3 linked regions of the Notamacropus eugenii genome follow. The protein of the gene in region 2 purifies or fractionates together with the protein of the main gene of each other region. This does not show direct contact. Links are inferred from orthologs where the notes say so. Each region holds a gene or a part of one and is shown on either strand. Other genes may lie near its edges. The genes, in order: RABL6, AP3M1 and AP3B2.

The links.
Region 1: the proteins of AP3M1 (region 2) and RABL6 purify together in Homo sapiens (co-immunoprecipitation; 3 studies listed by BioGRID and IntAct, counting the BioPlex papers as one, with this or other methods). This does not show direct contact. The link is inferred for Notamacropus eugenii from reciprocal best matches to the Homo sapiens genes AP3M1 and RABL6.
Region 3: the proteins of AP3M1 (region 2) and AP3B2 purify together in Homo sapiens (co-immunoprecipitation; 3 studies listed by BioGRID and IntAct, counting the BioPlex papers as one, with this or other methods). This does not show direct contact. The link is inferred for Notamacropus eugenii from reciprocal best matches to the Homo sapiens genes AP3M1 and AP3B2.

Annotation. Positions count from the first base shown.
Region 1 is NC_092872.1:492,641,597-492,651,581, reverse strand, and holds the start of RABL6 (rab-like protein 6), read right to left. Parts: upstream 5,052-9,985; 5' UTR 4,636-5,051; coding exon 4,506-4,635; intron 1-4,505. Other genes in the region: CCDC183 (coiled-coil domain-containing protein 183), read right to left, coding at 8,511-8,632, 9,484-9,580, 9,691-9,807. UniProt on the Homo sapiens protein: May enhance cellular proliferation. May reduce growth inhibitory activity of CDKN2A.
Region 2 is NC_092872.1:236,272,964-236,283,488, reverse strand, and holds the start of AP3M1 (AP-3 complex subunit mu-1), read right to left. Parts: upstream 4,833-10,525; 5' UTR 4,732-4,832; intron 4,349-4,731; exon of another isoform or gene 4,246-4,348; intron 1-4,245. UniProt on the Homo sapiens protein: Part of the AP-3 complex, an adaptor-related complex which is not clathrin-associated. The complex is associated with the Golgi region as well as more peripheral structures.
Region 3 is NC_092872.1:221,334,013-221,344,325, forward strand, and holds the start of AP3B2 (AP-3 complex subunit beta-2), read right to left. Parts: upstream 4,738-10,313; 5' UTR 4,700-4,737; coding exon 4,476-4,699; intron 1-4,475.

The sequences.
Region 1 (9,985 bases), about 260 Mb from region 2:
TTTTTAAGTGCTGTCATTTTATATGTTCAGCCAAGGTGAGGTGAGAAAGGAAATAAAACAATTCATTAAAAAAAGGCCTTTTTAAGCAAATCAGTATCAATTCGATAACTGATACTGTGCTATATTAAGACCTCAGCAAACCAATGTGGGTGATGTTTCTGATTACAAGAAATAGAAGGGGTGGCTGCAAGGATAGGCAGAGATTTCATAAAAGAGGTAATACTAACTTATTCCAAATCTTGGATCAGGCAATTGATATTCATTTTTTTCTTAATAGTAAAATAGTACATCTCAAACTAAAAAATGAAGCCAAATACTAGTACATGTCAGGTGGAGAAGAGTTACATGCAAAAATTCAGTTTTGGGAAGAAAACCTGTGATAAGATCAGCAATAAGAGAAATAGGAAAAGGTTATTAAAACCTAAATACAATTACCACCAGGATATATTTGGTTTGCCAGCAGGTTTGAAAAAATATATAAACAATACATTTCAACCTATTATTCTCTATATGAGATAAGATATTTCTTAATGAGAACAGATCATCCACCTGGCTCAGATCAGGTATAAATTGGTAGACCAGAACAAACAAAGGGTTTAGATCCTGAAGAAACCTTTATTCCTTTAACTTTACAGATATTACCTTCCTCTATACCTGAAATTTACTCTGATCCAAGCTTTTCTGAACCCTCAGATTTCTTCAAGACTCAACTGAGGTACTATATACTATACCTCCTAAGTTTTTCCTGATCTCTAGTGAGGCAGCTAGGTGGTGAAGTGGATGAGACCTGATTTCAAATACAGCTTCCGACATATAAAATTCAGACATCTGGGCTTACATGTCTTAAAGGCAGGAGGAGGTGTAAGATCAGAGGTCAACAGTTTTGTGCAGAGTAGATCTGAAAACCATCAGCATAGAGATAGTAATTAAATTCATGGGAAGGAGATGAGCTCACCCAAGTGAAGTAGTATAGAGAGAGAAGAGAAGAGGGCCCAGGACAGAACCCTAAACTACAAAAAAATGTCAATAAAAGCTGCCTCACTTTCTCTCTTCCCACTCTCTTAACCCATCCGTTAGTCTAGCTTTCCACTTATCATTCTACCAAAACTCCTATCAGGTAGCAACTGAACCAGATGATTTCTAAGGTGTCTGTAAGTTTTGAGACCTCATGAAGTAACAGATATTCTTCCTCTTTTTCTCCTTAACAAGTAAATTCGTAGTTCTCAGCCCACTCAGAATCAGTGGGCGACCTCCACGGAAAAACACACATTTCTGAGAGGGAACAGATTCAAGAATGATGCTCCAAATTTCCAAGAGATTAAAGAGTCATTTAAAAATATTTTTTAAAACACAGTGTCATATTAATGGTTGGTTACAGCTTAAAGGAAAATCAGGGGCTTAAACACAGATCCCACTAACTTATACGAACTATTTGCTAAGGTAGTTATTTGACTTCATTCCTCTACCTTGATGAATCTGAACATTTAGTGAGAGAAACAAATGAAAATAAATTACAGCTACAATATGGCCAGATTGAACTTTGTTTTTAAATTTGACAAAGCTTTTCTGTTCATCTTCTAAATATTCTATCCTACCACCAAGGCAAATTATTATGAAAACTGAAAGCTTTGTTTGAAACAGGCCTAGGAACCCCCTTCCAAAAATTTTTTTTACTAAAAGTGGAATGAAAAGAAACACTGTCAAAATACAACATAAAAGTTTTGAAATGTTGCCAATGTTTGTTGTCTTGATTTGCAATATAGCAAAATCAAATGTCAAATGAGAAAATTTACCTGAGGACAGAACAATGCCTAGGAGCCGTGGAGTTAATTTATATTATTTGAGTATGATGAAAATCTTAAATTCTCACTTTATTGTCTTCAAATGATCATTTCGTTCACAATGTGTAACAGATTATAAACAGTAACAGTATCCCTGTTTTCTGGAGTTTCACTAAACATAGCCCCACAGAATTGCTTCTTAAAAACAACAACATAAAAAAATTAAAGGAAGAATGAAAGGCACCACAGTCAGAGGCCCTGGGTTCAAATTCTGATGCACAACCTTTGAGACCTTGAGCAAGTCATCTCACCTCCTTGGGCCTGTTTGCTCATTCTGTAAAATGAGAAGGTTGTCCTCTAATTCCACTGAGGTCCTTTCTATCTATGATCTTAAAATTTTGTCAAAATTATTTTTTTCAAAATCCACACTTGAAAGTTAAGACTACAAAGAACATGCACATGACTCAATAATACTATAAATTATTATATAAGATGGTGCATTAATTTAAAATCACATTCATTATAAGTTAGTCTACTCTCTGGGAAGAATTCTAGAATTAAGTTCACCGTCAGAGTGACAGAACAAGAGGCTACTTTTTCAAATTACATAGTAATTTCTCAGGCAAAATATAGCCAATGCTATCCATAATATTGTATCAAAAATCCCATAAAAAGTTTTGGTGAGCTTAAGGCGCTTAGCAAAACTGCTGCCATGGCCTTTTCATCAATATATCACATGCAGAACGCACATAATGAGCTATGTTCTATCCAACACTATTTAGGATATGTAAGGGCAGCAAGAATAGAGTCAGTGCTCATATACTGCGGACTTCACAACTTCTGTATTCTCATCCACCTTTCCAAAGAAAATGATTACTCTGAGAGGCACATCTGGTTTGTATAATTTCAATCTGGTGATAATCATACAATTGTACAGCACAGAATCCCCTAGCATGACCATACAATCAAGTTTAAATAAAAATAAGACTAGAAAGACTCAAAGTTCCTGGAGGGAAAGAGCTATACCTCACCTGTATCTTGCAAACTTCCTTAGCACCTATGACACACAGAGAATACGGATTTTGAACTGTAAGGTACTCATGTAATTTAACCTCCTCACTTTAAAGATGAGGCACTGGGAGATGAAATTTCTTGTGCAAGTACACAAAAGGTAATTAACAGTAAGGGCAGGAGTGTGAAGCCATGCCCTCTGACTCCAAATCCTGCAATTTTCCACTGTTACTATGCCGCCTTGGGCATTCAATGGATAGTCATATAAATGAGTAGTCCAATAAAAATTGCTACTATACTTTTTTTTTTGAGAAAAAGGGCAACACTTTAGTTTTTAATACATCATATCAGTAATAGCTGTTATTCTTGGTCCTGGTTACTTATATTTGTGATAGTATGTCAGATCATCTCAAAAATAATATTTTAAGACTAATACTTAAAAAACAAAAGAAAAATTGAATCTGGTCACATTATCTATAAATATCAAATTCTCAGAAATCTGGGGGTAGGGGAGCAGTGACAGGCACAGAACAATGAATGGGCCCAAAAGCCAGAACTAATTCAGTCTGACCACTACTTTACTTTTCTTTAAACTTAGCACCATCGTTTGAAACTCATCCTGAAGAATATTACCAATGAAGGCTAACCCTTATTTTCTGTATTCCCAGCACACACTATAGTGCCTGGCTTAAGTGGGTGCTTAATAAATGCTTGTTGAATTAAACTGAATTTCTCCTTTTCCTTACTTCAGGGCCTTAAGTGAGTTTCAAAAAAGGCAGGGGTGTGTGTGTGTGTGGGGGGGGGGGGAGCCTAGGAGAAAGAAATTAAATCTGCTAGGACTCCTAAAACTCCGTAATCAGTCACTCAACAAACATTCATTAAGCGCTGCCAGCAACCTGGCTAAACCTTGGGGATACAAATCATAAACCAATGGGAAGACAACATACAAGTAACTGTGCAAACTATGTACAATGTAAATTGGAAATAATCAACAGAAGGAAGTCACTAGAATTAAGAGAAATAATTGGGATTTTATCTGGGACTTGAAGGAAGCCAGGAGGTAGGGATGAGAGGGGAAAGCTTTCTACACTGAGGGACAGCCAGTGAAAAATGCCTGGGATCTGGAGACGAGTGTCTCGTCCAAGGAAGTAGCCAGGAGGCCAGTGTCACAGCGTGTCGGCCTTGTAGAGGAGGTCCTGGGCTCCAGTTCTGATTTCACCCCCTCGCTGAGGGTGTGACCTTGGGCAGGTCACGTCATCTTCTCCTCAGCCTGCAGCATACTCCTTCGGTCGAGAAGCTGAACTGGTTTAAATCCCAGGAGACTTGAACCGAATGGGTTCTTCCTGCTTCAAGTCCTAGGAAACCTGGGATCCGGATGAGCTCATCTATCTATCCTTCCGGTCCAACTCTAAGTCCCATGATCCTTCCAGCATTGACTTGGTGCGATCCTGTCTAGCATTCCTAACCCCCAAACCCCCAATCTAGCTTCCTGCCCCTCCCCTCCCACGGGGCAAAAAGATCCAAGGCAGGATGCCCAGTTTCCCCCCTGAAGGGGAAGCAGAGGGTCCCCGTTAGCTCCCGACCCTACGAGGTACCCAATTCCCGGGGCAGGGTCTCAGCACTGACGGCCAAGTGCCTCGGGGACCCCCGAGGCTGACGAGAGTAGTGGGGGGCGCAGGGGCTCCGGGGCGACCCTCCCCCGGCCTCACTTACTGTTGTACTGCACTCCTTTGGCGAACCTCCTCTGCAGCGCCTGGTTCATGGACTGCAGCCCCGCGGGGATGTTCTTGTCCCGGCCGGGAGCCTGGTCCGACCCCACTAGCTTTTTGAGGGCGGAAAACATCTTCTTGCCCTTCCCAGCTCCGCGCCTCCCCCCTACAGCGGTCCTGGAGGATCCAGAGGGCCCTCCGGCGGGCTCAGGCAGGGAGGGGCAAGCTCCGGGCGGGGGCGACCATGCCCGGGGAAGGGGGACGGAGGGCGAGGCTGAGGGGCGGCTAGGGGAGGCCTCTCCCCGTCCCCCTCCCCCTGGGCAGAGCCCCAGCTGGCTCCCTCCTCAAGGCCGGGGGCGGAGGAGGCGAGGCGGTCAGGCAGGACTCTAGCTCTCCGCAGCTCGGCTCGAGACGGTCGCGGGCTAGCCCGCCTCGGCTTTCTCCCTGGCCTTACGCCGGGTCTCTAGGTGCCCTCACAGGACGTGGCACAGCTTCCGTGGCCTTCCGCACCGCCACCTGCCGCTCTCCTGCGTCGCCATCTTGGGACAGCTCGGGCGGAGGGGGAGGGGGGCGCTGAGAAGGGGGCCTCGTTCAGCGTCGCCTCAGCTACGGGGGCCCGTGGGGGACACGGCGGTGGGGGCGGAGCTAGTGCGGGAAGGCGCGAAGTCCCCGCCCCCTTCGCCGCTCCTACGGAGCTGTCGGGGGCGGGGCGGAGAGAAGGGGTGGGGCAGAGTGAAATTTGAATTCTGCTCTGGAGTCGCTCTACCTACCCACTGTTTCCAGAGACACCCCCGCTTCTCCAGACACCCCACTCACCTCCTCCTCAAACTGATGATAATGATGGCTAGGTATCGGCCTTAAGGCTGTACAAAATGTCATCTCATTGGATCCTTGTGACAACCCTGGGAGGTGGGTGCTTTTATTTTTTTCATTTTACAGATGAGGAAACTGAGGCAGAGATTTAAAATGACTTACCCAAGGGTTGGGGGCAGGGGAAGCAATGGGTGTCTCCCTGGAAGGTAATAATGGCAGATACTCAGGGTTTAAACCAGGCACATCTAGAGCAGGCTGCACTCTGCACCCCCAAGACCCCATCTCTCACCTCCAGGTTACAGTGTGCCAGGAGGCCATAGTGTTTCATGATGTTTAATTATATAAGAGTTGCTGTATTTGCATCTGGAGAATAAGTGTTAATAAGATGGCCTTTCACGGTTGTGACCAGTTTTGGATTTTTAAAAGCACTGAATGTTCTGCTGAGGACCATCCATCCACCCACTCCCTTATATTCAGTTGTGGTCCTAGGTTATTGTCTGTTCAACGTATAGTTCTGGACGGATGAATTAAATAGGCTGCCTATCTGTGACCAGACACAGCATAGTGTAGTGGAAGAAAGTTGGATTTAGAACCAAGATGACCTGGTTTCCAATATTAGCTCTTATACTCACTCATTTACAATGTAACTGGTAGTCAAATCATTTAAGCTCTTTGGACCTTAGTCTGCTGATCTATGAAATGGGGTTGGGGGGAAGTGGATGTTTGAATTAAATGATCTCATAGGTTTATAGATTTAAAGACAGAAGGGAGATGATCTCTAAATCTATAAGCCTACGTGTAATTCTAGATTTAGATTTAGAATTGGAAGGACCCTGAGAAGTTGAGATACGGAAAAAAGGTTCAGAAAATTTAAGTGACTTGCCCAAAGCAGGCAGTAAGTGGCAGAGTCCGAATTCAAACTCAAGTCATCTGATTCCAAATGTCCTTTTCTGGTATCAGAGGCCCCCTCCTCACATGAAGGCACATTTTGAGGAGCACCACTTATCTGATTTGTTTCAGTGGAAGCTGGGAAATTTTGTACCTAGCATTTTCCCAGGTTTGGCCATCAGACTAACAAGGCTTCAAAAAATAGAGCAGCTTTTTTGATAAACGGCTCAGAAAAGACAAATTTGAGTTCACCAAGACAGACAGCCAGCTGGCACAGTCTATAGTGTACTACACTTGGAGTTAGGAAGACCTAAGTTCAAATCCTGTCAGACATTTACTTAGTTATGGGACTCCAAGACACTTAAATGCTACCCATTCATTTTACAGGCCTATTCTTCTCTACCCAGGGAGGACATTTACTTATGGGGACAGACTTGTTTTGGTACCAACTACGAAACCCAGATTGTCATCTGGGCAATACACATTCTTTATCCACTTAGATTTTCCTGATTTAGTAGGGTAATTTCTCTCTCAGTAGTTGTTGATCTCATTGAGGAGATCCCATAGCGTTCAGTGGCAGAGAAGGGGAAAAATTGTGGAACTCAAAATCTTATGAAAGTGAATGTTGAAAACTAAAAATAAAATAAAAAAGAGAATAGGTTCCTTTCAATATTTTACCCTTTATAAAGTATTCTCCTCATTCATCTTGGGGATGTGACCACTGCAAGATGTGTTATCCTCACTTATAAAGTACAACTAAGACTCAAATTTTATATTTGATAGGGAGCTATTGGAGTTTATGAGTTAGGGTGGGGTTGGGGGGTGAGGGGAGGGGAGAAGTTAACAGAGTCAGACCTGGGCTTTAGGAAGATGACTTTGACAGCTGAGTAGAAGATGGACAGCAGTGGGGAGAGACTTGAGTTAGGGAGTCAAGGAGATTAGGCTGGATGCTATTGCAATAGTCCAGGAGTAATGTAATGAGGTAGGCATTAAAGTGACTAGCTAAGGTCTCTGATAAGAAGTGGCAGAACAGGGACCTGAACACAAGCAGTCTAATTTCAATGCTTTCTTACTCCAAGAGGTAACATAACCCTCATATATAATAAAGGAGGAAACTATTAAGACCCAGAGACACTTGTCCAAGGTCACTCTCAAAACTCCCCCTACCTCTCAACCCAGTTAGTTGCAAGTCTGTTGATTCTACCTTTGTAAAAGCTCCCTAGCATGCCCCCTTTTCTCCTCTGACCCTGCCACCACCCTTGATGAGAGCCCCTATCATATTGCTCTGAGACTACAATAGCATTCCGGTGGGACTCGTTGCCTCAAGTCTCAACCCACTCCAGTCCATCCTCTACTCACCTGTCAAGATGATCATCGAAAAGCACAGGTTTGACCATGTGAATCCCTACCCCACCCCCACTCACTCCACTCAACAGATTCAATGGCTCCCTGTCAAATAGAAATTCTGATAAAGCTCCAGATCTTGTACTTGACTTCTGCAACCCTTTGTACCATGTCTCCATCCTACATTCCTAGTTCTTCTTATTCCTTATTCCCCTCTATATTCTCTATGATCCATTGATACTGACTTTCTTTAGCTTGCACAGGGTGCTCTATTTCCTCACTGGGCATTTTTTGCAGGCTCCCTCCCATGTCTGAAATGCTCTCCCTTCTTACCTTCATTTCCTGGTGGCCTTGGCTTCCTTCTAGCCTCAGCTAAAAATCTCATCTTCTACAGCAATGTCTCCTCATCCCCCTTAACTGTAATGCCTTCTCTCTGTTGATTATCTCCAATTTATCCTATACATACCCTGTCTGTACATAATTGCTTATATGTCGTCTCACCCATTAGCCTGTGAGCTCAAGGGCAAGGACTGTCTTTTGCTTTTTTTGTGTGTGTCTCTAGCATTTAGCACAGGGCCAGGCAGATGATGTTTGACAGATTGATAACAAATGAGTTAGTGGCAGAGCCAGACAGACATCCTAGGTGTCCCAATTCCCACATCCAACTCTCTTTTTGCTTTCCTGTACTGCTTTCAACCTTCCTTTCTGTTAAGTGGAGCTGACAGCAGGTATTAGGGGTTGCTACCTTCACTCTCCTATGGTGATGATCCCACTTAAGTCCCATCTTCCCCTACCAAGGAGCTGTTGCATGGCCATGAATGGCTTGTGCTATATTCAGTTCTGGAAAAAATTTTATTTGTGTAATAAACTGAGCATGAAAGGAGGCAGTCCATTGTGAGCTGGAAAGTTGGACATGCAGGGCCTTGTGGGGTTAAGGAAAGGATCAAGACTAAAGAAGGAACCATTATTTCTTCTTTGGTTTCTTGATATTTCTGAGTTTACTTTCAATCAGATTTTCACTTTGCTTCTTGATCTCGTCCCGAGAAGGAACGTAGCTATGTTCCACATCAGGAAACTGGAAGGATTCTGGAAAAAGTATAAGGCAAGAGGACAGTGGAGGAGCTTCTGGACCCCACTGACCAGGAGGCTATCTGTGGACTGTTACATTCCCAGGGGGGTGGAGAGTCACAGGATTTGGCTACCATTCTTATTTCAGGGGAATGACTTACTAGTAACTCCCAAATTCACTATGTCCCATCTCCCTTTCCTACCCACCAGGCCTTAAGCCTACCATTATCTACAGTTAAGTAGCAAATCAAGGAGGAAATACCTCATAACTAAACCCAAGCTGCATGTTATTTAAATAAATCCCTCTGAGATACCCATAGCACATGTTCCAGTCCTTTTCCTTATGCCCTATACAAGTGCAAATTGTTATTTCTTAATTAGATGATTAAGGGTGTGTGTTTGGAGTGGAAGTGTGGCAGAAAGACTCATCTCTGATAATTCAGAGACTAAGAAAAGGTTGCCCAGGTTCTCAGAACATAGTCCACCATCATGTGTGAGGCAAAGCTGATGGACGATGTGCCAATCCAATTCTATCTTGCCCCATATACTACCAGCCTCCCCCCCCCCCCCACTTTGGGAATGCAGCTCTGAATGTCTGGGAATGTTCAGTTGAAGAGCTATATGGGGTATCTAGTACTCTACAGACTTTCACCAGTCCCATCAGGGACAATCACAAACCTTAGCTACTGATTTTCCCTAAGTTAAAAGCTAGAACTTCTAATTCCTGCTTCTTATCCCCATTGCCTAAAGTTTGTCTGTGAGGTTGGGGGAGTGGGAGGGTGGACTTGATGAAGGCAGGATCAGCAGCCTCAGACATCAGGATGAATGGGTTTTTCTACAGTTTTATCACCTAAGCCACTGTAACTCACCTCTCCCATCATCATCACCATCTTCAAAAGTAATCTTCACGTTATGTGTTTCACTTAGCGTTGATTCCTCTAGGAAGTCTCTCACTTTCTGGGAGTACTAAAAAGCAGAGGTGTAATAAGATGGACCCAGGGGAAAGAAGCAGGGGTAAAAGGCCGGGAAAGGGGGTACATAGAAGAACTTTTCTGCCTCTGCCCTCCCTCATTTACCTCTTCAAATATCTCCACATAGTTCTTAGTTCTTTCTATCAGATAGAGTAGCTTCTTCTCACAGTATTGTAGTTTACTGTAGGCATCTTTGGTATCAGCAGGACCAGGCATTCCTTTCTGAAGACAAACAAATGTCTCATTTCCTCTCAATTTCCTCCCTTGAGCCCCTTTCTGCAGGGAGTTTCCTTAGGGTCAGAATTTCAGACTGGAGGGAATGTTGGGTGATGGGTCTTAGGGTCTTTTTATACTCATCTGGGGAGGACGAGGTAGAAGGTAGGAGGTACCACTTCCTCAG
Region 2 (10,525 bases):
TGGACTGTGTGGCTGTATTGTACTCTGCAGAGACCCTGAATAACTGCCAATAAAAACAGCTTTTATGTTAGGAAGATTTTCCAGGAAGGAATTCTTTCATTACAAGATTAAACTAAGAGAGAGATGATAGAGCTTTGACCCTAAACTGAGAACTCCAGAGTTTCTTTAGTGCAATGTGGTAAAAGAAGCATGGATTCATCTAAAGAGTATTGTTTGGTTTATAGAGTGGTTAAGCAGATAGCCCATGTCAGATTTTGCAAGTATAATTCCAACTAGAGAATGTATAAAAAGCCTAATGAACACCAGAGGTTATGTTCAAAACCACCTGACATCTGTAAGACACATTGCCATACACCTTAAAGTGAAATGGCCACAGTGAATTGGTTATTTTTCACTCGGTTGATTTTTCTTCTAGTCTACATAGCTAATGAAATATCTCTATGGAGAACTAGGCTCCTCACAGCCTACTCTGATCCCTTCTCGTGGTGTAGGAGTAAATCTGGGCTCTTGAGGGCTGTGATAACAAAGCACAAGCTCTGGCAGGTCCTACCAGGCTGGAAAGGTTTGGGGCCTAACAATGCACTATATGTCCATGTGAAGATGAACCTAGCTAAGTTTGGAGTGGATGACCTCTATAAGACCTACCAAGGTGATGAATCTTTTCATGTACAGAAACTTATGAAGATGATATATTAAGGAGTGAAAGTTTACAGTCTGTGTTGGTAAATGGGAGTAACCATATCACAGAAACAAGATTTTTGAAGTACTAAGTTATTGTCACTTAATGGAAATAGCAGGTCCTAAGCCTCAACTGTCTATAAAGGTGAAATCTAGCTTTTCAACTCATTCTTCCAGGCAGTTATCCCTCGCATTAAGTGACAGTGAATATCCCATTCCAGAAGGGAAAACGTTCAGGTTATCAACTTGTCTGATTTCCCCAAGCCTCTCTACTGATTCAGTCCTTAGCATGTTCCCCAGGGGCTTAATTTTCCAATGTTGTGTCTTATATTTTATAGTATCACAAATAGGAGCTCACATTTATGGTATTCTAGAGTTTAAAAACCAATTTTAGCCAATTTTCACAGTTTCTGTTATTAGTTGATAAGTTATGTGAACTTGATGGAGTATTTGCAATTTTTATCCTTGGAAATAATGCTGAACTTGGACTCTGTCCCTTACTAACTTTAAGATCTAGGAGAAGTCACCCAGATCCTATGGGGGAAAAATTTAATAGTGCACACTCATAAATTAGAAACTGTACAATAACCTTGTGGCAAAGGAGAGCTTATTCAATAAAGAGAGTAAACAAAATGACATGACATTATTGTGCTGTGAGATAAATATGAAGAATTTAGAGGTCTTTAAGAAGATTCAGATAAATAAGAGTTTAGAAAAAGCACACCTGAAGAAATATATACATTGACTATAACCATATGAATGAAAAAATGAGAACAAAACTCAAGTTAGCCACAAGAAACAATGCTGATACTATGTTAAAGCCTTCCTTTCTTTTCATAAATGGCAAATTATAAAGCTGTACAATTGTTCTTTTGCGTGTTTTGCTTAACGGTTTTTAGGTGTATGTATTTCTCTTTGTTCCTCTCTCTTCATTCTATTAAAATAAATCAATAACAAGATTTTTAAAATTCCTCCTGCAATGTTACTTAGCTCTTTTCTATCCGGACTGCCACCATGGTTAAGTTCAAGGCATTAGTTTCCCAAATAGTCTCCAAACCTCCCATCTCCCTACACGACTATAATAACATCCCTTCAATGACTTCCCAATGCCCACTGCACTGTGGGGTAGTAGGTAAAAACACTGGACTTGGAAGACTTGGGTCTGAATTTTATTTTTGACACTTACTAGTGTCTAGGTTTTAATATATTCTCCAGTAGGAATTATACTTGCAAAATCTTCTAACAGTGTCTTCTAATATGAAATACTCCTGTGATCTTACCTTTCCAATTTCTAGTCTGATCACTCCTCCAAACACAACTACTGGCACAACTTCATGCTTTCCCCTCTCTCCACTCAGGATAACCCCCCACCCTTGTTAGAATCCTACCCATACTTCAAAGGTTCCCTCTGAAATCACTTAATGGGATTGGTTCACATTGCTTACAGGACACCTAGCATGTCCTGCCTCACGCTACAAAAAATAGTACATTTTAAGCACTTTCATGCAGAACACTAATGCACACAATTGAGAAGATGTAAAGTTTTGATAAAGACAAAGCTTGGGTTTCAAGGCGTTTACAATCAAGGAGATAAAACAGTAACAGATATCTAGAACAGGCAATATAATACAGTAGAATCACTGGACTCAGATGTAGGAGAAACCAGGGTCCATATATTATTACCTTTGGCACTTTGACCCTGGGGCAATCACTTTACTTCTCTGTGCCTTAGTTTCCTCATTTGTAAACTGAGCATAATACTTTTAGATCTTTAGAGAAATGAAAATATGTGAAAATATTTTGTAAAATACGAAGTTAGCTATCATAATACATAATTACATAATAACTGTGTGTAATGTTTGAGAATAAAGCATTTCTTATGGAAAGGCTTTTAAAAGAAGGGTGGGATTTCAACTGGTGAAAAAAGTGGGGGAGAACTTTCCAAGTACTAGGAATAGCCTTGCGAGAGACAGCAAAAGTTAAGTTTCCACGGTAAGTTATTGTTAATTGATGAAGCCATTGAGAATAAGTTAGATAATAAGGCGGCCAGCAGACTGCAGGTGGACTCAACCAATCAAAAGACAGACAGTGGCAATCAGAAAATTAGGAAGCTTTGGATAAAGGAACCAAATCTACAGTTAGCTGGAACTAGTCAAGAAAAATGATGTAGAGTTACTGGGCTTGCTTAATGAACTTCATGCATATAAGCAGACACACCCTGCATAAAATTATCCCTCCATTTTCTGATCATGGGTCCTATGTTAAAGCATGTTTGGGGGGAATCACAGTAAGGGGGGGGGTTATGTAATGGGCATGTAGAGAAGATGGTGACCTAAAGGAGGACGACCAATCAAACTCCTGGTGGGAGAATCTGTCTTGAACTAAAGGTATATACCTCATGCATTCAGTGCTCCCTCCTCTTGAAATGAGGGTGGAGGTCCGCTTTGGCCAAAGTGTTCAATTCCTCTGAACTCTGCTGTAATAAAATTTCCTTGACACCTTATTGGTGTCAAGCATGTTTCTAACAGTCTGTACAAACGTACAGTTTTAAGAGTTCAAGTGTTTTTAGGGGTGTGACTCTATGTGTGGGAGCGAGTGAGCCTTTGGAGTGGGAGAGACTGAACTTTTTACTTCACAGGTATTTTTTTGAGCAGAAGAGTGAGTTCCGGCAGTCCTATTTTAGGTCCTGGGAAGGAGAAGGGAAAGATCTGAAGGCCACTATTACAATAGTTCGGGGCTTCACATCCATCCAAGGAAAGCTTACCTGTAAGAGCACCTGGACAGCTCCCCTAGGGCTGCCCTCCTCCCCACCACATCGGGAGCAGAGGCCCTCCATTCCTTTGCTCATCTGACGCCCCTCAGCCTGGGCACTCTGCCTCCGGACTGGGCTGCTCTGCTTGGAATCTAGCCTCTATCTTGCCAGACCCAGACCATGCTTCCCATCTCACCCAGCCAACCTCCAGGGTCTCAAGTCCTTCCTGGAGCTGGCATAGGTTCTGCTGGAGCATGGACAGCCCTTTCCACTCTCATGTCTACATTTCTCTTTTGTTCAATAATAATAATAAACAATTCCACACTGCTGCTGCTATGGTCAAGGGCATGACAAATCAACTAGACTGTCCGTGGGTCAAGCCTTTCTCCAAGGCTTACTTTGTGCCCGAACCTGCTTTCAAGTGTCGCGGAAGATAACGGTCTTCCACAGGTACGTGTATGCGCCGTGTGCTCCGATGCCAGCGGAGCTCCTGGAGGAGGGGCGAGTCACTTCGGCTTTGAGTCTTAGTGTCTCTGTCTGTGAAATGAGAAGACAGCCGGACACTTCTCTACCCCCCCACCTTGACAGTGAAACTAACTGTAAAAGACGGAAAAACGAACGTGTGAGTGTGTGTGTGACACGGTTTTGGGGACGCGCTGGGCAGCGCGAAGAGCCGGACCAGAAGTTACGGGAAGGAGGTCCATGAGGACCCTGGCCAGGGTACAAACACGAGCTCCGGGGCTCCCCCGGAGTCCCACAGACGCAGGGCCGCGAGGTGGCGCAGGGGAGAGAACGTCGGCCCCGGCCCGGAGTTCGGGTGATTCCGAGCAAGTCCAGGACCCTGCCCGTCTCCTCTCCGGTACAGTGAGGATTATAACGATGCCTCCCCCCGGGGTGGCTGGGCTTTGAAACACCGAGGTAAGCGATCGCTAGAATGCTGGCGGCGAGGGTAATAACCAGAACAGGCGTTGGTGCCGGTGTCCCCGGCATATAGCTGGCGCTTACTTAGCACTTGCAGGGTGGATCATTGAGGCACAGAGGTCGCAGGGACGCATCCCTTGCCCGGGCGGGCCGTAGGCCACGTCGAGGGGCCGGTGCTGGTCAGGAGGACCCGGTCGCCTCACCTGCCCCGGGGCGCGTCCCTTCCCCGGAGCGCCGGGTCCCTAGAAGCCGCCCCGCCCTTCCCCGGCGGCGCTGACGAGGGAGTGGGCGGGAGGAGCGCCGCCCCCGGCTCTGCGGACCCCTCCCCACCCCGCTTGACCCTGACCCCGACCGCCGCCCCGATGGCCCGCCTCACTTACCTCGAGGAGCCGGGCGGCCCGAGCTTAGCCCCGGACCCGTTCCGGAAGGAGGCCGCCGGCTCAGAGGCTGCGGCGGCGGCGGCGGCGGCGGCGGGGACCTTGCGGCCCGGGCTGTTTTGCTCACTGCCTGAGAGAGGGCTTCACCGCCGCCGCGCTCAGATCGCCTTCCGAAGGGAATACCTGAGCAGAGCAAAGGTCTCCAAGGGCCTAGAGAGCACTCCATCCCGAGGCAGAAGCTGCGGAGCTGTCGGTCGTATGACTCCCTGCGTTCAGGCGCCAGGGGCTGCCCGTTCGAAAGTTCCTGCCCCTCTCCCGCCAAGGCCCCGCTCGGGGGCGGGGCGAAGACAGCCCGGGAGGCCGCCTGACCTGGGGGCGGGGCGAGCTCTGGGGGCTGAGAGGGGAGGGGCTCACACTCGTGCGGCCCGAAGAGAGGGCACCCTGCGCCGGCCCTTGGGAAGGCCGGGGGAGGAGGGAGGAGAGGGGGCGGGGATTGGGTGTGCCCTCGGACGGGGGAGGGGCGCTTGTGGCCAGGGGCGCGAGAGTAGGGCAGAGAGCGGGAAGATGGCAGCGGCGGACGAGGAACCGCAGGCTAAAAAGCCGAAAGTGGAGGCGACGTCGCATTTGAGGTGAGCGCCGCTGGGCTGGGAGGGGGTGCACGTGGGGGCCGGGAAGAGCCGGGCCGCGGAGCCGCCCCGCGAGGCCCCCACCGGCTCGGAGCCAATCAGCGCGGCCGTGCGAGGGGAGGGGGGGCCAGGCCCGGCCCCACGTGGGCGCTTCGCGCTGCGTCCAGCCCCGGCCCGGCGCAGCGGAGCACTAGACCGGCCGGTCCTGGGGTCCTGGGGTCCTGGGCAAGGTATGCTGAAGGGCGAGAGGACGGAACGGGCATCGCCAGGTCGGCGTGTGTGCAGACCCCGGCCCGCGCTGGCGTGCCCAAAGGGAGAGGCGAGCCGCTGGAGCCTCTAGTTAAACATTTATCTCCGTCGTAATCGCGCTCCCTGTAAAATAATGTTACTTTTTCGTCCGCTCCTCAGTAATAAATGGAATGCTTGCATCCCAAAGCTTCTGGACTTTGAAATCCATAGGCACGCGATGACAGCGAGATTTGGAGCTGAAAACAGGCCCTTCCGACTGTTAAGAACTATCCCATTAAGGCCCGTGTGTGTGTGTGTGTGTATGTATGTATGTGTACGCAGACACACACGTGGATGACAAGAGACTGTATAGATGCCACCCCACCACATACCCTTCTCCACCCATTCTCTCTCAAGTAAGAAAAAGGCAGAACTGTGAACATGCAAACTTGTGGGCTAGAATCTGCTTCCAAGCCAAGAGGGGTGTTCTACTCCTGACTGCACCGGGACCTTGGCAAGTGTCTTAATTTTCCGGAGCTTCAGCATTCAGTAACCAGGATACAGGAATTCAGCCTGCTTCCTCAAGAGATAGGGTCAAACGAGATCCATGGGAAAGCTCTTGGAAACTGTAGGTGTTACAAATGTAGTTGTTGTTCAGTCGTGTCGGAATCTTTGGGACCCCTATTTGGGGTTTTCTTTGCCAAGATTCTGGAGTGGTTTTCCATTTCTTTCTCTAGCTCAGTTTTACAGATGAGCTAACTGAGGCTTACATCGACTTGCACAGGGTCACACAGCAAGTGAGTGTCTGAAGGCTGGATTTAAATTCAGGAAGATGAGTCTTCTTGACTCCAGACCAGGCACTCTATGCACTTGAGCCAAAGTGGAGGGGATAATGTTAAATGATTCATTTTTGCAGGCTTTGAGGGTGATTTTGAAAACTAAGCACCCGGCCCATAGGAGGTGCTTAATAAATATTCATTGATTGATTCAGTGTAGGGTCATTGGAAAAGAACACTGAACCTGGAATTATTCAAATCCCCCATATTGAATATGCACTGGGCAGTGGGCAACTCTTTCAACCTTTCTGGTCACAGTTTCCTCATCCACAAAATGAGGAGGAGTGGACTAGGTGACCTCCTATGGATCTTTCCACCTTTGAGGCCTTCTGACCTGTGCTTTTAGTGATATTTTTGATTACCTTAAAAGTGGGTTCTTAACATTTTGGTTGTTGTTGTTGTGAGCCTCTTTGGCAATCTGGTGAAACCTGTGGACTCCTCAGAATGATGTTTTTAAATAACTGAAAGCAAATGCTGAATTACAGTTGGAAGTTAGTGAAAATAAAAACTTAGGTTTTTTTCCCCCCATGGACCACTTTAGGTGGGGAGGTCTGTGGAACCCAGGTTAAGAACCCCTGCCTTAGGTGATTTCTTATGCCTAGTTTACACCCAGGAAGAAATTGCCACCATCCTGCAGTGTTTTTTAAAAAAGGATTTGGCCAAATACATATTCATAAATCTTATACATTCTAATTATATTAGGTTGTGGGTGGTCTGGTCTTTTTCATATTGTTCAGGGTAACTCTTCTACACTTGTAAAGCCTTTTTGCGTATGTGGCTAACCCTTATTTTTCAGTTCTCATCTCACATGCCTGGCAATGACACCAAATCCTTATGACAGTTACATATAAATCTACCAGACAAAGTTTACAAAGGCCATACCCTGGCTTCTGTGCTCAGCCCTTGCCATGCAAAAATAAGAAACAAACTTTGAACTTGATTGTCAAAGTGCAGAAAACAAATTTCCACCACCCTTGTGTTCTCACTGTGAAGGTAATAAAGAACTTTTTGTGTGGAAGTTCACCTTCAGCTTCCTTTTTTTTCAAATCCACACCAGCGTTTCATCTTGTGGAGTTTTTTGATGTCATTGTAGCGTGGGAGTTTGCAAATGGTGTCATATGCTCTTAGTGCCCTCTTTCCTCTGGATTATACTGCTCATTTCTGAAGGGCGACTTCTCTGTGGCTCCCTCCAAACTACCAGTGATCTCAGTATTCTTTTGACTCAGTGCCTTGGCACTGGCATGCTCTTTCCTCTCCACTTTGGCCTCCTGGCTTCCTACGAGATTCAGCAAAAATCTCACCTTCTGCAGGTGGCTTTTTCCATCTCTCCCCCAAACCACCTTGTACCTTCCCTCTGAGACTACCAGCTGTCACAAATCCATCTTAGATGTCCATGGTTGTTTAGAAGGTGAGCTCCTTGAGGGCAGACTTGTTCTTGTCTCTCTTTGTGTTTAGCATAGTGCTTAACCAATACTTTCTGACTGTTTATTGCCAAATAAAATGACCTCTTATTGGTCCTCATTTTTCTTGACCTCTCTGTAGTATATGACACTTCTGATTGACCACCTCCTCCTGCTGAAGATTGTTTCTTGTAGGTTTTTGTGACAGTGTCTCTCTTGGTTCTTCTGTCCTTATGATCCTTTCTTAGTCTCTTTTGCTTGGATTTTTATTATCCATGTCACACCCACTCTTCTGCTAGGTGGGGGGTGTAGGGAATTTCAGCCTCAAGTGAGACCCTTTGACTGAATCCAAACTTCACAGAACAAATCCCCTTAATAAAATGATTTGATCTGTAAAATTGGGACTCAGTTACAAGCACCCAAGGACCTAGAGGGCCACAGGTTCCCTACTCTTGCTCTAGGCTCTGTCTTTCCTTGACCTCTTCATTTTACTGGGACTGGTTAATGCTAATGTTAATCTCTTCCTTCTGTTGTTGATCTTCCATTTATCTTGTATGGATCTTGTTTCTACCTAGTTGTTTACATATAGCCTCTCCCATTAGACCTTGAACTCCTCAAGAACGGGAACTGGTTTTGGCCATTCCTTTGTATCTCTAGAGCTTAGCTGACCATAGTATGCACCTAAGTGCTAGTTGACAGACTTATCCACCTTCTCTTTTCTCTTATTTCTCTCTCATTTGGTGATCTTATCAGCTCCTCAATGATATGTTCCAAACTGGAACTAAATCTCTTTTCCTCTCACACACACCCCACTTCCAAACTTCACTATTACTGTCAAGGGCACCCTCATCTTCCCAGTCACTCAAGTTCCTGACCTCAGCGTCCCCCTTGACTTCCACTTCCACTTACCTTACCTATCTAGGCATTTGCCAGGTCTTGTAATTATTTTCTCTATGACATTTCAATAATTACAACACAGAGCTGCCAAAATGAATTTCCTAGGCATAGGTCTGACCTTGCCTGTCTTCTCCCTAACCCTTTCATAAATTCCAGTGGCTCCCTGCTACATATGTAAAGCCCTTTGACATTTGAAGCTCCTAACAACCAGGTTCCTCCTTACCTTTCCAGTCTTCTTCGTTCCTGCTTCCCTCCATATACTCTACAATCTAGTCATCCTGGTCTGCTTGCTGTTCTTGGAATGTGAAGCCCCATTTCCCATCCCCATGCCTTTGTACTGGTTGGCCACCAGGCCTAGGGTGCTCTCCTTTCCAAACTCCAATTCTTGGGATCCCTGATTTTCTATAATACTCAGCTAGAGAGCCACTTTCTCTTTTCTCCCTAGCTGCTAGTGCCATTTCCTCTAAGGATACCTAGCATCTCTGTTCTAAACTTGTATGTATTGATGTGTGTGTGTGTATGTGTGTGTGTGTGTTTTGTCTCCTCCATTAGAATATGAACTTGAGAGCAGGATTATTTTTGCTTTTGTTGGGGACAGAGAGGGAACAAGCATTTTTTAAGGAACTAGTATGTTGCAGGCACTGTTAAATGCTTTCAAAATGTCTCCTTTGCTTGTTACAGTAACATGGGAGGTAGGTGCTATTATTATCCCCATTTTGTAGTTGAGGAATTGGAGGCAGAAGTTAAGGGGTTTGTCCAAGGTCACACAGTGGATAAATATCTGAAACCACAATGGAACTCATATCTTTCTGACTTCAGGCCCAGCAGCTCAATCCGCTTCTTTGTATCCCTAGAGCTTGGCACAGTGATAGATGCAATAGTAAGCACCTAATAAAAGCTAGGTGGTGAAGTGGATAGAGTACCAGGTCTAGAGCCAGGAGCATCTGAGTTCAAATCCAACTTCAGATGCTTACTTGCCTGTGTGATCCTGGGCAAGTCACTTAACCCTGTTTGCCTCAGTTCCTTAGCTATAAAATGTGAAGGAAATGACAAACCACTCTAATATCTTTGCCAAGAAAACCCCAGGTTTTGTCAGTGAAGAGCGGGACATAACTCTTGAAAACAACTGAATAACAAAATAAAAGCTTGTTGATTGATTGTCAAGATGAAGATCTTCACCCTTTGCTTCCAAAGGTTTCACTACATCTTAACTTATTTCCCTTCCTTTATTGCCTGTTCTCCTTTCCACTTTGCTAAACTTAGTGTGTCATTGTCTGGTCATGTCTAGTCTACTCCTGCCTCCCTGGAGGCTCCCAGATTCCTCTTCTGCTTGAAATGATCTCCTTGATTCACCCTGCCAAATAAATCTTTCTTTAAACAGTCTCTTGAAATCCTACCTCTTCCCCAGGGCATTTCCCGTCTAATAATAAATAGCTGGTATGTGTGTATATGTCTATGTGACCCTAGGGATATCCCTTAACCTCTACGTGTCCCAACCAACTTTAATACTCTCAGTCGCAGAACAGTTTTTGAACTACTTTGGTAGAGGGAATTTCCTCATCAGGAGTTGACTATACTGGTGAAATCTTGTTCTAGTCACATGCATGTCCATGCAAATGTGTTTGCAAAGCACTTTGTGTCCACTCCTTTGGATCTCACAACCACTCCGTGAGGTAGGCACCCTAGTTTACAGAAGAGGAAATTGAAGATAAGAATGGTTAAGTGACTTGGCCAGGGTCACAGAGTTAAGTGGCAGAGGTGGCTTCTGCTCCCAGGTATCTCACCTGGCCAGTATAACACCCATTCTATT
Region 3 (10,313 bases), about 15 Mb from region 2:
ACCTAAAATCCCTTTAAATACCCAAAGATGCGTGCTCATCCAACTGAGTCTTTTCCATATTGAATATCTTTAGTTCTATCAATTGCTAAGTCTTTCCAAAACTATACATAAATAACATGTCACCTATTATCCAGAAAATAGGCTTTGATATCCCACAAGTTGACTGACATCAACTCAAAATGGCAAACCATTCATAAAATGTGGGAAGATGAATTGAGCACTATGCAATCCAAATAGCATCACCCTATCCTCAGTATCCTCATCTATATCCATTATTCCTCTTACAAAGGTCTGTATTGGTGTAAATGGTGGCCAGGGAAGTTCCCTCAGGGGAGATGGAATCAGGTACATATATATGACATTTAAGGTACCCATTGTCCTCCAGGCCTAGAACATACTACCTTTTCATCTCTACATCTAAGAGTCCCAGCATCCTTTGAGACACAGACAGAGTTATGAGGCCATCTTCTATACAAAGTTTTTGCTGACTCCTTTAAGTGTTGACACTCCATTTTAAAATTACTTCATATTATTTGTTATATATTTACTATTTGCTTAATTATGTATGTGGAAACACTCAGCTCTTTGACAGCTAGAACTATTTCACTTTTGTCTTTGAATTTCCAGTGTCTTGCACATAGTAGACATTCAATAAATAAGTTGTAAGAAGCAAGAGAAGTCTTGATTTGGTGGACCATGAAGGAACAATAATCATTTTCATTCCTACTGTAGACTCTGGAATTAATTCTGCTATTAGATGGGGTGGAAGGGACCCTAAACTACTAAGTTTAGGGATTAGTATACAGTCACTTCATTACTGGTCTATGTTCTGAAATTTGTACCCCACATCCAATAACTAAGTTCTTAATCTTTAAAATTGTATAAAAATGTCTTTTGTTTTTACATAACAATCATTTCTGAATGTGCACTCTCCCCCTCTACCAAATGAACAAAATCAAAAACAACAAAAACTTTTGAGCAAACTCAATTGATAAAATAAACGCATCTGTCAGCACATACAATAATCCGTACCCATAGTCCCCCACCTCTTCAAACAAAGGAGAGAGAGTCATTTCTCCCTCTCTTCTCTAGACCAACAAAAACCACTATAATTATATAACATTCTTTACTTGTTTTTTTCTTGTATGTGTGTGACATACAAACCAGCCTACCTAACATTCCCCAAATCAATACCATCTCCTAGCTCTCTTGCATGTCTGAAATGTACCCCTCCTTACCTCTCCCTCTTAGAATTTCTAGCTTCCCGATAATTATAAGCAGTTACTTGTTTTGTTTTTCTTTTATGGGTGACTAATCCTATCTAACATTGCATAACTGAGTCCCTGTCTTTTCTAGTGAGCCCCTGCACTAAATTTATTCAGTTTCCCTGGGACAAAGGTCTTACCTCAGCCCTATAATTCTTTTTTTTTAATGTTACATTGATGTTTTTTTTTTTAAAAAATATCACTAGGGGTAATCAGAATGCATGCTGTCTTGAGGTGGGCAGAGGAGAGAAATGGGGAGAAAATTTGGAACTCAAAATCTTGTAGAAATGGATGTTGAAAACTGAAAGTAAATAAATAAAATTGAAAAAGAATTATTAACATTATTATAAAAAGCAGGAAAAAAAATCAGTTACTTCCCAATGGCATACTCCTACCCCTCCCCTGAATCCTCTCTTCTAACAAATTAAAGTAGTCAAATACAGCAAATATATTGTTGAACTTAAAATTATTTCAGGAACTGAAAGTCTCCCCCTAAATCCCAGTCCCTATACCCAGGTCTCCTTTTTCCTGACACTGGACTTTTTGCCTTTACTCCATCATCTTGGCTCCATCTCCCTCCATGGAACTTCTTGGTACCAGGTACCTGCTTGTTTGGACTTCTTCCTTCTAAAATCTATGATAACTGGATCACCTACCTGCCTTGTCCCTGCAAATCTGTGTGATTGCCAGTCAATCTCAGTTTGTTTTGTCATGCTGGTGAAGGAGACCTAATCTTAAGACTTATCAAATTTAAGACATTTGGAGCCCAGATCAGGGAGGCCAACAACCCCAATCCATTCAATTCTTACTACAAAGCCTCAAAGAGCAGTGATTTTATTGGTTTGAGTTTTTCTTTTTCAGATGCTGTTTGAGATCCATCTGGATTAGCTTGATAATCTAAGATTGTTGGGGAACTGAAAAAAATGTCATTCTCTGGAAGTCATCCTGAGGAGAAGCTTCTCTGAATTTAGCTCAGGTGGTCTTCACATTCCAGGTACACATTTTGCTGTAGGGTGAACACCAGAAGGCCTGTCAGGGCACCTGCTCTACCAGTTCAGCCTGGGAGAGTCTAGGCCACTTCTATGCCATGATAACTATCAAAGGAGAACTTTCTTGGGGCTGATTTACTGCCAAAAATCATTTTCTCCAAACATTGGCAGTCTGCTCCGAGAAGGGTGATGGCTACCTGGTGGGGTGGGGCAGTAAAAAGATCACTGGCTTTGGAACCTGTGTGACCTCAGAGAAGTCATTTAACTTAATGATAAACCCTAAGCTCCTTAAGAGCAGATTTTAATTTTTGTCTTTGTATACCAAACACCTTGCATAATGCCTTGTACACAGTACATCACTGATTGATGCTCACCCTTCAGACATTTATTAGATGTATGACCAAAGACAACCTCCTAATCGTGTTCCCAGTTATGAACCTCTCTTTTTACTAATCTATTCTCCATAGAGTTGTCAAAACAATCCTCCTAAAGCAAGATCTGACCATGCTCCTCTCCTGCTCAGAAAACTGTAAGTGGCCCCCTATTACCTGTGGGATAAAAGTCAGATTCCTCAGTTTGGCATTTAGAGCCCTTCGTAATCAGTTGCCAGGCTACCTTTCCTGGCTTATATTTTACATGACTCCATTTTCACATACCCTACTTTGCCGCCTGTTTACTATTCCTCAACTCAATATTGCATCTCCTAGCTCCTTTGCATGTCTGGAATTCACTCTCTCTTTATCCCTCCCTCTTAAAGTCCAAGCTTCCTTCAAGGCTCAATTCCTTTTCAGCCCTCTAGTGGAAATCTTTCTGAATCTCCTCATTATTAGTAGTTTCTTACCACAATGACATGACATCACAAGGCTTCTATGACTTTCTTCAAGTCCCACCTAAAATCTCATTTTCTACAAGAAGTTTTTCCTGAGCCCTATTAATGCTGGTGCCTTCCCTTTGTGGATAATCTCCAATTTATTCCGTATATATTTTGTATGTACATAGTTGCTCACATTTTGCCATCCTCCCCCATGCACACATTAGACTGTGCTCCTTGAGAGCAGGAACTGTTTTTTGCCTTTCTCTGTATCCCCAAGGCACAGATCAGTACCTGGAACACAATAGGCACTTAATAAATGCTTGTTGATTAAGGACATGGACCTTTGTTTTTGTGACCCCAGAATTTAGCACAGTTCCTTGTATATAGTAGAATATTAATAAGTATTTGTGGGGTTTGGGTTGTGTTGAAGTAGGTGCACAGATTCCCTTTGCCTCACCCTCTCCAATAGACACAGTTATCAGAGGGATGGAGGGCCATCTGGCAGCCCCTAATACATCTTCCCATTCTTTCCCCCTCCCTCCTGTTGCTGCCTACTGTGGGCTGTCATGTAGGAGGGAGAGATGGAATCAGTGATACCCTTAGGGCCATGAAATATTAATCTCCTATAGAAGGATCACTTTACAATTCAGTCTAACCCTGTATTGATCCCTGGCTCTCTAGCTCCTGACTTCTTACCCCATCCTAGTCAGGGGGAAGAGAGATCAGCAGTCCCTTTTCTAGAAGATAGATAGAGTCTACCAGAGAGATATCAGTGAATGCAGGGTCATTAAGGGGAAATTAAGGCCCAACTCCCTAAGACTCCTTCTCTGCTCTCTATGGCAAGGGAAATACTCTCATCTTATATAGCCTTTCCATGCATCTGCTCTCCTGTTCAATCATGTAAGTTGGAGAAGGTTCTCTGTGAATTTTTTTAGATCCTCCCCTGAAAGATACCCCCAGAACTTAGTACTTTTGCCTGCAACAAGCTTTCTTTCACCAGCCACCCTCAATATTTATCCTGGCTCCAACAAATGAGGGAGCCACAAAGGTCATCAGGAACAACCCTATCTCCTATCTCAAAATTCTTTTCACAAATATACTCTGTTCAAACCTATATCCTCCTCAAATATGGAATTGCCCCCCTCTCTACATGCACAAATATACATACCTAGACCCCCCTCTGTGTATTCTACGTCTCTAATAGAACCTAGACATCTTTTCCCTTTGGATCTCTCTCCCCATCCCCTCCACACCCAAACTAACACTTCTCTCCTCCCTTTACACATCCTAGCCAGATTCCCCTTGAGAGTGAGATCAGTTCAGCTCCAGGGACTTAGAGCCTGAAAAAATACTCCCTGCGATCTCCTGGGGTTTATGGAAGTCCCCTAGAGTGCCCCCCCTCCATACCGTAAAGGCTGGCTGTGGCTGGTCCCATCAGAGCCACCTTCTGGGGACACATCCTGTTCAGAGGTCTGGAGCTGTCGTAGCTCATCTGGTTGCAGGGCTTGGTACCAGGCTGGGGTGGCCCCCTCAGGGGTAAGAACAGGGCTGGTTGCCTCCTCACCCACCCTGTTCCCCGGTGGCTTCACCATAGTCCCTGGGAGCTGCAGGAACCGCTGCATTGGCGTCATCGGGCTTCGTACCTCAGATACCAAGATTCCCTGGAGACCCCTAAATCTGGTCCCAGACACCAGGTTTCCCCCCAAGGCAGACAGAGTCCGCCTCCTTCTTCTCTCCCCTCCTCTCTTCTCCCCAGCTGATCTGTGACTCAGTCCTTGCTTCAGTGAGTCCTCACTGATACTCCACCCGCCCAGGCTCCACGGAAACTCAGAAATGTGATGCTGCTATGGGACAGCTGGAGGGAGTCTGGGTAGTAAAGCTGTGGAAGGGGAGGGAGGAGAGGGCAGCAGGGGTCAGCTCCAATTTCTCCTTTTCTTCTTTGAGACTGAGAGGGAAGATTTATGGGTGGTGGGGGGACAAGGAATGTGGCTATTATTTAGTAACTAAAGTACCCTCCAAAAAGCCCCAAACAATTTATGAGGTTATGGGGGGATTGGGGAGGGGGAGAAATAGGGAGGGAGATGTGAGCAGATTTAAGAAAGGGGATATAAGAAGAAGGACAGAAGGAGTGGGGGATGGTAATGAGGGATGAAGAAATCAAGATGGGATATAGCAAGATTGGGGTAGAGATATTGATAGGAATTCTGAGGAACAGAGTATGGCGACGTGTGAGAGTAGATGACCCATGAGGAAGGTAGTGAGTCATAAAATTGTAGATCTGAAGAGATTTTAGATGAGGAGTTCTTAACCTTCTTTTTGTGTACCCTTCTCAGAATATTTTTCCTAAATCTATAATTAAAGAAAATGCTAAATTGCAATTAGAGGTTAATGAAAATAAAAATGTATTTTTTTCCTATTCAGTACACAGATTCCCTGGAATTTGTGGACTTCACGTTAAGAACTCCTGTTATCTCATTTTACAGATGACACCTAGAAAGCTTTACCAACATGAAGTCACACATCTAGTTAGTGTCAGGACTCTGGACTAGAACCCTGGTCTCTTGAATCCCAAGCCCAGTGCTCTTTCCATGGCCTTCACTGGCCTTCTTTTGTGAGTGAGCAAGATTCCTGAGAGGAGTTATTGAGTTTAGATTTCTCTCTGAATTACAAATGAGTCTAATTTCAGACTAAGGATCTAACATTATCATCTAGTCCTTTTCTCTGACCCCAGAGGGGCTCAGTGCAAAGGAGAAGGCAGGGGCATTAGACTGTGAGCACTAACCACAGGAAAACAGAGGTGGAGGATGGGAGCAGAAATCTCCCTGTGATTGCTCCAGAGGGGACCAGGGATCCCAGGAAGGACTATGTTTCATTTACAATCCAAAGGGCAGGTTTAATTCCAGCATCCTGAGAGTTCAGAAATTCGATGTTAGTCTGTAACTTTCCTCATGTGTGTTAAGTGACATCTGCCTGTCTGTCTCCTGCTGTCATGGACAGTAGAACCCTCAGAAAGCTCAATTGACTGTTTCAAGGTCTGGGAGATAAATGAGCAGAAAATACTCTGCTCCTGCTCTGCAGAGTAAAATAACCTCACCTTAATCTAAGGGGGAGATGGCAGTGGAGAGAGACCACTACTGAGGTAAAAAAAAATTATAACAATAATGATGATAATAGCTCACATTTATAAAGTGCTTGCCTTATAACAACCTGTGAGGTAGGTAACCTAGGACACTAAAATGATTTTAGGAATCATACAGGTAAGACAATTAATTTCCCAACTTGGGCTATGAGGTAGATAGGAGTTCTGATAAGAAACAGTTTCATTGGGAGGAGTTATGAAGGAAACATTCTTCCTAACTTCCCCATGACTGCTGAGGTTACCACCATCCTCCCAATCACCCAGGCTCACCGCCCTTCCTCTTTGCTTCCCCCTCCCTCTCCCCACAGCCGATCTTTTGCCAAGTGCTGTTGATCCTAGCTTTGTAAAGGACAGAATACATTCCCATATTTCCTCTGACTCCCTTCAAACCTGGACTATTTGCAATAGCTTGCTGGGTTGGTCTCCCAGCCACAAGTCTCTCCCCACTCTAGACTATTCTACTGTTGAGGTGAGTTAAATTTTTCTTATATTTAAGGTCTGACCTTATTGTTGTTGTTCAGTTGTCTCTGACACTCTACATCCCCATTTGGGGTTTTCTTGGCAAAGATACTGAAGGGGTTTGCCATTTCCTTCTCCACCTCATTTTACAGATGAGGAAGCTGAGGCAAACAGGGGTAAGTAATTTGTTCAGGGTCATACAGCTAGGAAGTGTCCGAGGCCAAATTTGAAATCAGGAATAAGAGTCTTCCTGACTTCACACACAGCACGCTATCCACTGTATCACCTAAGTGCCCCATCTGACCTTATTACCTGCTCAGTAAACAGTAATGGCTCCTTTCCCCTCTTGGATCAAATTTAAAATCCTCTGTTTAGCATTCAAAGCCTTTCCACATCTAGCCCTCCCCCTTTCCCACCTTTCCAGTCTTCTTACTCTTTACTCCTTCCTACTACCCCACCTTCCCCTTGTATTTTCAATCCATTGACATTGGTTTCTTTCCTGTTCCTAGAACAAGATACTACATCTCCTGACTCTGGGAATGTCTACTGGCTGTCACCCTTACTTTAAATGGTCTCCCTCCTTCCTGTCTCCTGGTTTCCTTGGCTTCCAGTTTAAGTCCCAACCAAGATAGCACCTTCTGCAGGAAGGATTTCCTGACCTCCTTAATTCTAGTATTTTTCTTCTCTTGATTATTTCTAATATATTCTCTACATAGCTTGTTTGTACATAGCAGAATGTTTTCTCCCCCAGTCTAATCTATGAGCTTCTTGAGTGCAGGGACTGTCTTCATCTTTCTTTGTAGAATTTATGTGTTTGGCACATAGTAGGCAATTAATAAATGCTTATTGACTGACCGAATCAGAGGCATGGACAAGATGGAGGTGTGGGGTGGCCAGAGAAGCAAGGAATATGACATATATGAGCCTTCTGGGTCCTGGGAATGGAGATTTCCACAGTAGATGAGAGCCTAATACTTTTGACATTTACTGGGGTTTGTTAACATCCCTTCACTGTTCCCTCCCCCAACTCTACAGGAACATTGTACTACTTAGACTCCGATCCTAGAAGCAAAAAGGATGTTTCCCGGGGTACGGAACCTCCATGGAGGCTGCGGGGGCGAGGCGGCACTTGAATTTGGGATTAAGTAGGGAGCACCCTGGAGGGAATTTTACTTAAGGTTTGGGGAAAGGAATAACTGGGAAGGGGGCGCATAGACTATGAAGGGCAAAGAAGGCATCTGGGAAGGAGTTTGAGTGTGGGTTCCCAGAGTCGCCTAGAGAGAGGAGTCATCTAGAAATCCCAACGCTTCAGAACCAGCCTCATTTTAGGCCCTGCCCCACATACGGTGGGGAAGATGACGAGCTCCGGGGAGAAGAACGGTGGTCCTTCTCATCAGCGGCACCTCCGTATGAACCTTGACAGAGTAAGTCCCAGCTCACGACAGTAAGCCTGGGTCAGAGGGATAGGTAAGTCACCCAGTGCAAGGCCGGGCCGCACACAATGTCCAGGGAGGATAAAAAGTAGGTCGCAGCTACAGCAGGCACTTCAAAAACCTCATCACCCCCAAGCTACCCCGCTCTCTCCACGCCCCCTACGTCACTGGCCACAACAGCTGTAGGGTGGAGCTTGAGTGCAGGGGGGCGGGGGAAGAGCTGTCCATGGTCTGCGGCTGACTCTGGACACCACGAAGACCTCGGGGTGGGGGTGGCCACTGTGGGGGTCGAGGCAGATAGGCCCCAAACAGATTTAGCCCTCGCTAGTCGCTAGGACTCTCGCCCGCACTGGCACTCAGGTATTTTACTCCAGGGATGAAATTAGGTTCTGCTCCTAGACCTCCAATCTCTTCCGCTGTTTCTCCCCAAATCTCTCCACTTCTAGATGCCCTCTCCTCACCCTCACACCATCACGACGGTCTCCAGGTACACTCCTGTCCTGGTCTGGTCCAGGGTCTTCACACAGCCTCTCAGATCTTTTGCCATCACGTTACCCTAGATACCTGACTACCCCTGACACTAGTGTTCCCTTCCCTCCTCCCCCAGCAGGCCTCGAGGTTTCCTCCTGCCCCAGGGTCCTCATTTACCTCCCTCTAATCAGGTCTTTAACTATCCTCCTCACTGGGTGTCTTCTTTCCCCAAATCTCCATCCTACGTTCCTTTCTGCCAAGGCACTGCCTGTTCCACCAGACCTCAGGTTTCCTTTGCCCAGGTTGCCTTATATATTACTTCCCACAAAGCCTTGCCCTATACCCTTCTACACTTCATATCACCCTCCTCTGACCCTACATCTCTTCGCTCTCCTGTCTCCAGGCTTATCCTCCCAGAGTCTGGCGCCCCACTCTATAGTGGCAATATCTTTTCTTGGTCTGGACCCTGGGTCTCACCCTATACCTCTTCCAGCCCTCCCTGTCCCCTTTCCCGGTCCCAGATCCAATCGGGTCATGGGCCTGATTGGGGCCGAGATCTAGGTTCCCCCCAACCAAGGAGAAGGAGGCCTCTAATGAAGCTGAGACAAGGATGCCGGGTGAGGACAGGTGTGAAGAAGGGTTCAGTGGCTCCTCGCACGGTGCAGAATTCGGTAGCAAATCTAGGGGCAAGAATGACTGCTTCCTTCCAAGAGCTGCTTGTGCAAAGCCATCCCCCTCGGGCCCGATTTGCCAGAGGGGAACTTGGTTGGTAGCCCCGCCCCCTCCCCACAAATCCCGGGCCCCGTGGCCAGGGAGGGGTCCCTCCTGGAGCTGGGGGCCCGCATCCCAGCCTACCCCACCCCATCCTCCCGGGCCCCGCCTCACCGCTTGTAGTCGGAGGAGAAGATGCCGCCGCTGGCCGGGTCGTGACCGTATTCGGGCTCCCCTAGGCTGGAGGAGCCGCTCTTGTCCTCGCTGTAGGCTGGAGCGGCCGACATGGTGGTCAGGGTCTGGGGAGAGAGGCCGGGCCGGAGGAGGCTGAAGGAGGCAAGGTGTGCCCAGAGATGCTGGAGCAGGGATTTAGAAATCCAGAATCAGGCTGAGCTTCTTAAAGGGCCAGGCTCCGGGAAAGGAAGTGGAGGGGGGAAGGAAGAATGGGGGGAGGGGTGTGGATCCTGCAGCAGGCACCTGGCTCCTCCCTGCCCCAACCGAGGAGCTGCGACGTCATCCTCACGTGAACAAGGAAACCCCCCTCCCCAAAGGGTGTCCCTTCCTCTTAAAGGGATAGAAGGAGGTGCCCAACATTGCCAACTAGGGGCTTCCTCACTCATTCCGGTGAGAAAAGGGGAGCGAGACCTTGGGAAGAATAAGTTATCCGCTATCCTATGATCCTGGGAGGAGGGAGGCGAGGGAACAACCTGAACGGATTAAGCTTCTAAGTGTGAGAGGCAGTGCTATGTAGTGACGTAAGAAAGATGGGATTCGAGTTTCACCTCTGACACCTGCTTGGCTGTGTCACCTTGGGCGAGTCCTCTGTGTTCTAGAGTCTAGACAACTTTCTGAGACTTACAAGAGAAGGTCCTGGCCTGCATTGGCGAGGGAAGTTCCCTGGCCTGAGAGTTCCCTAAAAATGAAATCGCAGGTCCTCCTACCCCTACTTATCACTTAGCCCTACTGTGTGCTACGTACTAGGGATATAAATAGCCAAAATGAAAAACAGCCTTCAAGGGACGGTTTTCATCA